Linked DNA regions of Oryctolagus cuniculus. The protein of the gene in region 1 interacts with the protein of each later gene in a pairwise test. Links are inferred from orthologs where the notes say so. Each region holds a gene or a part of one and is shown on either strand. Other genes may lie near its edges.

The links.
Region 2: the proteins of SH3GLB1 (region 1) and SYP interact in binary tests that used the Homo sapiens proteins (3 or more experiments, as listed by UniProt). The link is inferred for Oryctolagus cuniculus from reciprocal best matches to the Homo sapiens genes SH3GLB1 and SYP.

Annotation. Positions count from the first base shown.
Region 1 is NC_091438.1:84,410,842-84,415,223, reverse strand, and holds the start of SH3GLB1 (endophilin-B1), read left to right. Parts: upstream 1-1,360; 5' UTR 1,361-1,729; coding exon 1,730-1,801; intron 1,802-4,382. UniProt on the Homo sapiens protein: May be required for normal outer mitochondrial membrane dynamics. Required for coatomer-mediated retrograde transport in certain cells. May recruit other proteins to membranes with high curvature. May promote membrane fusion.
Region 2 is NC_091453.1:34,296,523-34,300,974, reverse strand, and holds the start of SYP (synaptophysin), read left to right. Parts: upstream 1-1,559; 5' UTR 1,560-1,669; coding exon 1,670-1,705; intron 1,706-2,927; coding exon 2,928-2,993; intron 2,994-4,075; coding exon 4,076-4,200; intron 4,201-4,452.

The DNA.
Region 1 (4,382 bases):
TGCACTCATCTTTCAACCTTTATGAGCAGCAACTGCTTCTATAACCGCTGTTTCAGTAAAATTCTGAAGCCTGAATGCCAGCTCACTTCACTGCTTACTGGGCCTACATTTTCCCAGCCACATTAAATCCAAAGGGCATCACCCCACAAAAACCAGCGAGGGTTTTCTTATTCTTGAGATACAGCAATGCATCTCCTTCCATGTTTGTATCTGTCTTACTTTGTTCTAGCACAGGCTGTTAACATAGGCTATAACTGCTTAGGAAGTTACTGGGGATGCAAGGATTGTGAACTTCACAATCTTACTTAATGGTTAACACTAGTCAGGCTGCATTGTTATTAAGACTACCCTAAGTCACTCACCATTTTACATTTCTTTGCCGCTTTCACCAGGCCCTTTGTGTCCCCAGCATGTGCTTTGTGTGCTTGGCACACAGTGTGCACCTGTGTGGCTCTGTAATTCAGCAAGTGCCTCAAGAGAGACCTAAAGTCCCTGAAGCAGGCTGGCGCCATGGCTCACTTGGCTAATCCTCTGCCTGCGGCGCGGGCACCCTGGGCCCGGTTCTAGTCCCAGTGCTCCTCTTTCAGTCCAGCTCTCTGCTGTGGCCCGGGAGTGCAGTGGAGGATGGCCCAAGTGCTTAGGCTCCTGTGCCCACATGGAGTGCAGGAGACTAGGAAGAAGCACCTGGCTCCTGGCTTGGAATCGGCACAGCGCTGGCCATAGCGGCCATTTGAGGAGTGAACCAACAAAGGAAGACCTTTCTCTCTGTCTCTCTCTCTCACTAACTCTGCCTGTCCAAAAAGAAAAAAAAGAGTCACAGGGCTTCTGCTGGGAGTGGGGAGGTTTTCAAAAGTCAAGTAACCGGACTGAGCGCTTGACAGTGCCTTCTTCAGTGTGGTGTCTTCAGCACCTGACTCAGAGCCTGGTGCACAGTAGGTACTCAATAATGCTGAATGAATCGGCTACAGTCCCCATGGGGACATTAAATTGAACTCTATTATGAAGAGGTGAGCTGAGTGCCATCCAAGCCTCGCGGACCAGCGGCACACCCAGCTGCTACAAGATGACCGAAGCCTGTTCTAATTTCATAGATATTGCAATTCTATTCTGTAATTACATGTTTTCTCGTTCAGGAGGTGGAAAAAAAAAAAAAAGAGGAATCTTGGTTGTCTGCGCTCCCGGTTCTTTGATGTTGAAGGCAAACGCGCAGAGCGCTGGGACCCCCTCCACAGCAGTCCCTCCAGCCTGGCAGGCCCAAAGCGGGAGGAGCTCCCGGCACGCCCCGCGGCGGAGCCGCCGCGAGCCTCAAGGGGTCGCTGTTCCCGCGATAACTTCGGGAAAGGCTCCGCCCCGCGGCCGGCGCTTCGCTCGCTTCCTCCGACGGGGGCCCGGCCCCACAAGGCAGGGACGCCCGTCGGCCTGCAGCTCGGCCCCCGCGACCTGCGCGGACGTTGGCGGCCCCACTCCCGGCTGGACGCGCTCTACTTCCCGGCCGCCGCCGCCGCAGCCCGGGAGCGCAGCCTGTTCTGAAGCGCTGGTACTCGATCCTCGCCCCACCCTCCGCCTCCCCCTTCGCGGAAACGACAGCTGCGGCGGCGGCGGCGCTGGCGCCACCTCCCTCCACCTACCACGTCTGCCCCCGCCGCTCTCGCCCGGCGCCCCAGCCCGGCCTCGGCGCCACCGCCTCCCCGCTAGGTCAGCCGGCGGCTCCGCCCGGCTGCCTCCCGGGATGAACATCATGGACTTCAACGTGAAGAAGCTGGCGGCCGACGCAGGCACCTTCCTCAGTCGGGCCGTGCAGGTACCACAGTGGTTGGGGGCTGGGGGGGGTGGGGGGTGGGAAAGGGTGGCGGCGTCCGAGGGGGGACCTGGGAGGGGCCCCCGAGCGCCCAGCCCGAGGAGGCGGCGGCCGCCCGGCGGCATTGCTGCGGCCGAGGCTCGGGCGATGGGCGCGGCCTGGTGCCCCTACGGTCCCGCTGGGCGTTTTCCTCCTCGCTCCTCTCCAACCGCCGCTCTGGGGCAGCGAGACGGGGTGGGGACGGGGCCTGAACCTCCCTCCCGCCCCTGGAGGACACCTTGAGTTCACCTCGGGTCGAGGCGCTGCCCTGGCCGCCCGGGTGAGCCCCTCCCGGGGCCGGCGGCGCCTGGCGAGCGCGGCGGGTACGAGCGCCGCAGACCATTGGGGCGCCACCCCCACGCTTTCCTTTCGCCTCTGGCCCTCCCTGCCGAATCCGAGAAGGGAGTTTCCTCTTCCAGCCCCTCAACCCAGAGAACTCTGCCAAGGCAGTTCCCTCCAGCCCTCTGTCTTCCTGAAAGGACTGTCCCTGGGCTTGGCAGCCCCCGGGGGAGGGAGGGGCGGAAATGCACATCGCCAGTTGGCGTCCAAACTTTGCCAGGGCCAAGAGACCCAGAGTTTGGGGTTCTCGTTGTGCAAACTCAGCTGGGGAGTAAGGAGAGGGGTGGGGGGAAGATTGACGTGGTGTCCGGAGCCGCAGTGGCATGCTTGATACACTTGAAGGGGAACTATAGACTGACTAGCTCTGGGAATGCTGCAATCAAGGACGTGTCAGTACCAGGGAGCTTAGCTTTCTACAGACGTCATCCGCATTGTGCTAAGTCAGTTACATCCAGGAACAGATGTAAATTTCACAACATGGTTGTAAACAATCTGCTGTTTAAGCTAATAACACAGTCACAGTAGCAGCAGCATTCTCTTTTGTAAAGAGAAAATGAAATTAATTTCTCACACGCATACTGAAATGTCAAACCTGTCCCATTGCTTTACTACATTCCTGTCTCCTTTACCTCAGTTTTGGCACAGTTGCTTCTAACATTGCACTGGTCTCACCAAAAGCATGCAAGAGCCAGAGCAAGGTAATAACTGCCTATGTTATGAAACACTTGTATGTATGTCAAGTAGTTCGCTGTTCATTTGACTAACTCCCTTCAGTCCTTTCCATAGCTTTGCCAGGTAGGTGTTACTAACCCCCTTTTATGTCTAAGGAAGCAGCCTCGGAGAGGTTCAGTAACTTGCCTAACTTGCACGGGTAGTAAACAACTGGTTGCCATCTGGCCTACTACTGCCAACTAATTTCTCTATCTGAATAAGCCGTTGCAAGTTTAAGATACATGGAAATAGAATGCTGTGGCCTAGAGAGACTTTAAATATAAGGTAGCATGATGTGTTTCAATAACAGCAACAAATAACACTGAAGAAATGAGAAATTCCTCCTAGCTTTTGATTTCGAATTCCAAAATCTCTGTGATAATAAACTACCCATCTTAAGTCTTCTACCTCTTCTTCCCTAAAATATTAAGTATAATGTAAAGACATTGAACTTTTATAGTTAAAATACTTTCTTGATTTCAATTAGCCTGTTTCCAATAGTTCAAAAACATGGTGCAAGGGGAGTGAATGATAGAGGGTCTGAGATGAATTTTGATTTCTGAGACACTTAGAATTAACATTGCTGACAATAAAGGACTAGAGCCTTCCATATTTTTTGCTGTGGTGCCATTACCTGTGATTTTATATCCTTGGTGCAGATTTGACACTATACAATGCTTTATATGACCCATGCTACTTAAATAGGACACATTTCTGGAATTTAGTGTGATTTAAATTGTTGGTAGATAGAATTTTAAAAAGTAAATCTACCAAAGATCGCAAAGAGTATACCTCCTCAATTGAATCTTAATGATTCTTTCCATCTCTTTAGGGAAAAGTTTTTTCATTCTGTCCTAATCTGTTAGCTGTCAATTTTCTTTTTGGTCTTACATACTTAAGTGCCTAGTCCATCTCTTCCATCACTATTCTGGACACTGGTGATACAGCAGGAAATACAATCAGTAAAGGATCTTCCTTCCTAGAGCTTACATTCTGGCAGAAAATAAACTTGTAAATACATCAGATGATAGAGGAAAAAAAGCCAGAAGAATAAGGTAATAGGCAAAGTGGTGGTTGTTGCTATGTTGTGTAGCTAGGATGGTCAGGGCAAGGCTTTCTGATAGGATGAAATACAGAGAGACCTCAAACAAGTATAATAGAGTCTTCTTTCCTCTCCTCTCCTCCCCTCTCCTCTCCTCTCCCCTCCCCTCTCCTCTCCTCTCCTCTCCCCTCCCCTCCCCTCCCCCTCCCCCTCCCCCTCCCCCTCCCCTCCCTCCCTCCCTCCCTCCCTCCCTTCCTTCCTTCCTTCCTTCCTTCCAGAAGCATTTGAGGGCAGAAGGAACAAGTGCAATGACTGAAGTTGCATAGGTACTGGGGCAACTGGTTAGGGAACTGTCGTCATATGGGACAGGTAAAAATATGACTTAGATGACAGTGGTAGAGGGGAGTTTCAAAATCTGTATTGGCTGTCAGATTGGCTCTCTGGTGTGAAAGA
Region 2 (4,452 bases), on another chromosome or scaffold:
GGGATTTTTTTTTCTTAAAAGCAGTGGCGAGCCATAGGAGGACTTTGAGTAGGGTAGTGACATAGTTAACTTTGCATTTTAAATAGACTCTGACGCTGTGCTGAAAACAGAAGGGAGGGGGAAGAGAGTGGAGAAGCTAAAATTGGCAGGAATGATGGTTGCCTTAGCCAGGCGAGGTGGCAGAGGAGATGGTGAGAAGTGAGTGGATTCCAGAGATGTGAAAGAGGTAAAATGAACCATTTACTGGGCTCTGTGCTGGGGGCATTACAGCGATTATCTTATTTCATCAGTACAACACCCCTATAGGTATCATTTTAAACCATTACATGTTCAAGGTCAAACAGGAGTAAACATTAGAGGTGGAATTCAAATGAAAGCAGTTGAATGCCAAAACCCATGCACTTAACCGCTCCTACATACTGCTTCCCCCAACAAGGCAACAACTAGAAAGCATCCATTACATATTTGTGTGGATTTCCATGCTTAAATCTATATACACATTTCAAAATTCAAAAGGTACAAAATTTTCCCTCCTCTCTGGAGGCAATCAGTGTTGTCAGGTATAGATGTAAAATGATGCACCTGGTACAGGGAGTTAGCCTAGCAGTTAAGACACCCATGTCTTACATCAGAGCGCCTAGGTTTAATACCGGCTCCAGCTCCTGACTCCAACTTCCTGCTAATGCAGAGCCTGGGAGGCAGAAGTAATGGCTCAAGTACTTGGGTTCCTGCCCCCTATGTGGGAGACATGGCTTGCATTCCTGGCTGCTAGATTTGACCTGGCCAGAGTTCCAGCTGTTTGGGGCATTTGGGGAGTAAACCAGCAATTGGAATCTCTCTTTTTCTCTCTCAAATAAATACATTTATTTAAAAAAAAAAAAGATGATGTACTAGCAAGTAAGCACTTAGTAATTTTTATATGCATTTCTTTTTGTGTGAGTGAGGCTGAGCATCTTGAGCCTCAACTGTATTTGATCCATCGGATTTTGCAACATGGCAATCACCATTGACCTTGATGGACCTGGTTTTCGTAGCCAAGGACAGGGAGAGCAGTTAAGAGAGCACTGAGGAGTTAACAGGAGGTAACCTGTAGGGTTGGAGTAGGCAAGTATTTGAGCAAGATGGAGAGAGAAGTGGGAGCAAGGGAGATAGTTGGAGAGAGGGAGAGGTTTTCAAGATGCAGACTTCCCAAAAGGAACGCTGAAGACCTTGAACTATGTTCAAACTACAGGGACTCGGAGCACTGCCAATTATTGGCTGGGTGACCTTGTGTAAGTCACTTAACCTCTCTGGGGATTCATTTTCCCCATCTGTGAAAGCAGGGCTAATAGTCCCTTCCACGCAGGGATTAAATCGGTGAACACATTTAACAAACTCAGAAAAAGGCCCGTCGAAACATCATACGTTAGGATGACTTGGTCCTTTCTGTCCCCAGACCTCTAGTTATGTTTTCAGAGGGAATGATGCGCCCAGCACACTGCTAGCCTGCAGCCCCGGGGCTGGAATGGAGGCCGGGAACAGCCGGCTGTGCGCAGGCGCGCGGCGAGCGGGGTGGGAGCGCAAGGGGCGGGGCTGCAGCCGCCTGGGCTGTTCCGACGATCGCGCGCCGCCCCCGCCGCGCCCCGCGCCCGCCCTTGCTAGCAGGCGCCTCTCGCCCCCTGCATTGCTGATGCTGCTGCTGGCAGACATGGACGTGGTGAATCAGGTACGCGCTCCAGCACCGCGGACAGAGCCCGCCGCTCCCAGCCGCCGAAGCCGGCGGCTCCCTTCAGCCCGCCGACTCTTGAGAGGTGGTGGCCAGGGTCCTGACGGCACAGACCCGGTCCCCGGCGCTGGGGCTGGGGGGTCTGCGGCAGGCGAAGGGAGGAAAGGGGAGGTGGTGGAGAGGTGTGCGCTTTTTGCCGCAGCGAGGGCCATCCTCACTGTCGCAGCGGGAACCACCAGAAGCCCCGCGATTTACTGGCGACCTCGAGGAGAGGAGGAAGGGGCCTAGGGGCTGGGGGATTCTCAGGACTGGGGAAGGGGCGGAGTGGGGGGGTTGGGGGGGAGAGTAGAAGAAAGACTGGGGGCTGCGACTGAGCTAGGAAATAGAGCGACATAAGGTGTGGGGGCGGGGGCGGGAGTGAGGGACAGCTGACACCCGCCCCTCCCAAATAGACTGCACCCCGGTTGACAACCAGGACCCTTTCCCTGAGAGCAGATCCGGGGGCGGGGGGTTGGGGGGGCGCGATCGGCTCTGCCTCCTCAACTACCCCTCATCTCCTCTCCCCCAACACAAACCCAGTGAAGCCGCGTCCCGGCCCTCCCCCACTTTCATGGGTCCAGACCCTCTCCGCCATCTCACTCTTCAGCACCTCCGAACCTCGCCCCTTCCCTAACCAGTACCAAACCCCTCTCCATCCCTGTCGCCTCAGACCCCTCCCCACCATCTGACTCAGCTTTACCATGCAGACCCCTCCCCCACTCTAGCCAACCCGACTCCCGCCCGCCCTGGTGATGACTCACCTTCACCGCTCAAGACCCCCTCCCCCACCCCAGGACCCGACTCCTTCCTCGACCTCTCCACCCGACCCCCTTCCCCTCCTCACTCACAGTTGGCTTCCAGACCTTCCCCTTTCCCCCACTAATCCGGACCCTAACCCCATCTTCCTCATCCCTAACTCCTCTCCCATCTGACTCACCATCACCCCAACCTCTCCGCCAGTCCTGAACCCCGCGATGGGTCTTCTCTCACAGATCCTGGTGCTCATGCCTTCCTCAAGGTGTTACTTTCTCCTTTTTACCCTCTCTCTGAACATCACCTTCCCCCTGCATCCCGCACCGAGGTCACGTGCCCCATCCCCTGGGTGCATCCCCTGAGACCCCTACCCCTGGCCTCCCTCTCTACCTCCAACAACCCCACCCCCTCCCCGCGTTTCTCTCCTCAGCTGGTGGCCGGAGGTCAGTTCCGGGTGGTCAAGGAGCCCCTCGGCTTCGTGAAGGTGCTGCAATGGGTGAGTGAGGTCTGGGCTCCTGGGGTGGGGGTAGGGGATGCAGGGAGAGAAGCTGTGGGGTCTGGAAGAGCAGATGCAGAGTAGAGGGGAAAGTAAGGAATGCATAGGAGGGGTGGAAGGGGATGGGGGGGATTGGGCTCCAGGGTGACATGGGGGGGGGGTTGGGGCCAGAGCAGAGACAGGCTGTGACGTCACAGGGCCAAGAGTACCCCTGTTGAGAAGTGACGTCCTACCTCCTCTCCTGAAGTGAGGGGGGGAGGTGGAGCCTGTAGCCAATTTCTGGGGGACAGACTCAAAACTAAAGAAACCCAGAAACAGCGAAGGACGCAGAGAGAATGAGAGATGGAGAATGATGGAGACAGAGACAAAAATGCTGCAAAAAAAAAAAAAAGAGAGAGAGATACAAAGATGAGTGAGAGAAGCAAAAAGAGACAAAGAAGGGCAGAGGGAGACACACAGAGAACAGAGATGTAGAGAGGAATAGGCACAGGGACACAACCAGGGAAACAAGGTGGGGGAGGGAAAGACGCCCAGAAAAAAGAAAAAAAAACAACACACAGCAAAACAGACAGGAGGGAGACAAGGAGAGAGGCATACAGACACCAGGTGAGAGACAGAGACACGGACAGAAAGCGAGACACACAGAAAGACCTAGGGAAAAAAGAGATACTGAAAGAGGCAGAGATAGTCAGAGACAAAGAGACATCTGAGAAAGGCAAAGACACAGAGAGAGAGAGAGAGAGAGAGAGAGAGAGAGAGAGAAACCAAGAGAAATAGAGATGCAGTGAGCCACGCAGAGAACAGAGACAGACAGGGACAGACTGACGCAGGTGGAGACAGAGACAGAGAAGGAGGGCAGTCAGAGCGTGGAGAGACACCCAGGGAGAGAGAAACAGGAAGAGATAGCCACACCCCTGTAATCAGCTTGTCCTTGGTCCGATGAGCCCTGATTAGGGGGTGGGGGCGGGGAACCTCTCCATCTGCTGCTGCCTCTGCTGGGCCCCCAATCTGTCCAGAGGAGGGCACCCCCCTCCCACGTGCACACAGGCTCACTGTGGCCATCGCCATCCCTGCTACCCAAGGTCTTTGCCATCTTCGCCTTTGCCACATGCGGCAGCTACAGTGGGGAGCTCCGGCTGAGCGTGGAGTGTGCCAACAAGACGGAGAGTGACCTCAGCATCGAGGTTGAATTTGAGTACCCCTTCAGGTGTGACTCCTCTCTGGGATCCCAATTGACATGAGAGAAGCAGGGGTGGGGTGGGATGTGCCAGAACCTCTTCCCCCCAGGGGCCCCTGCCCAGCCCCCACCTCAAGAGGCCGCATCCACTTGGATCACCACTGGTGCACTGAACACCTGCCTTGTACCTGGCACTGCTCTGGATATCTGGGACCATGTAATAAGCAAGACAGGCATATATATATATAATATATATATATATCTTAATACAGCAGGTGCTCA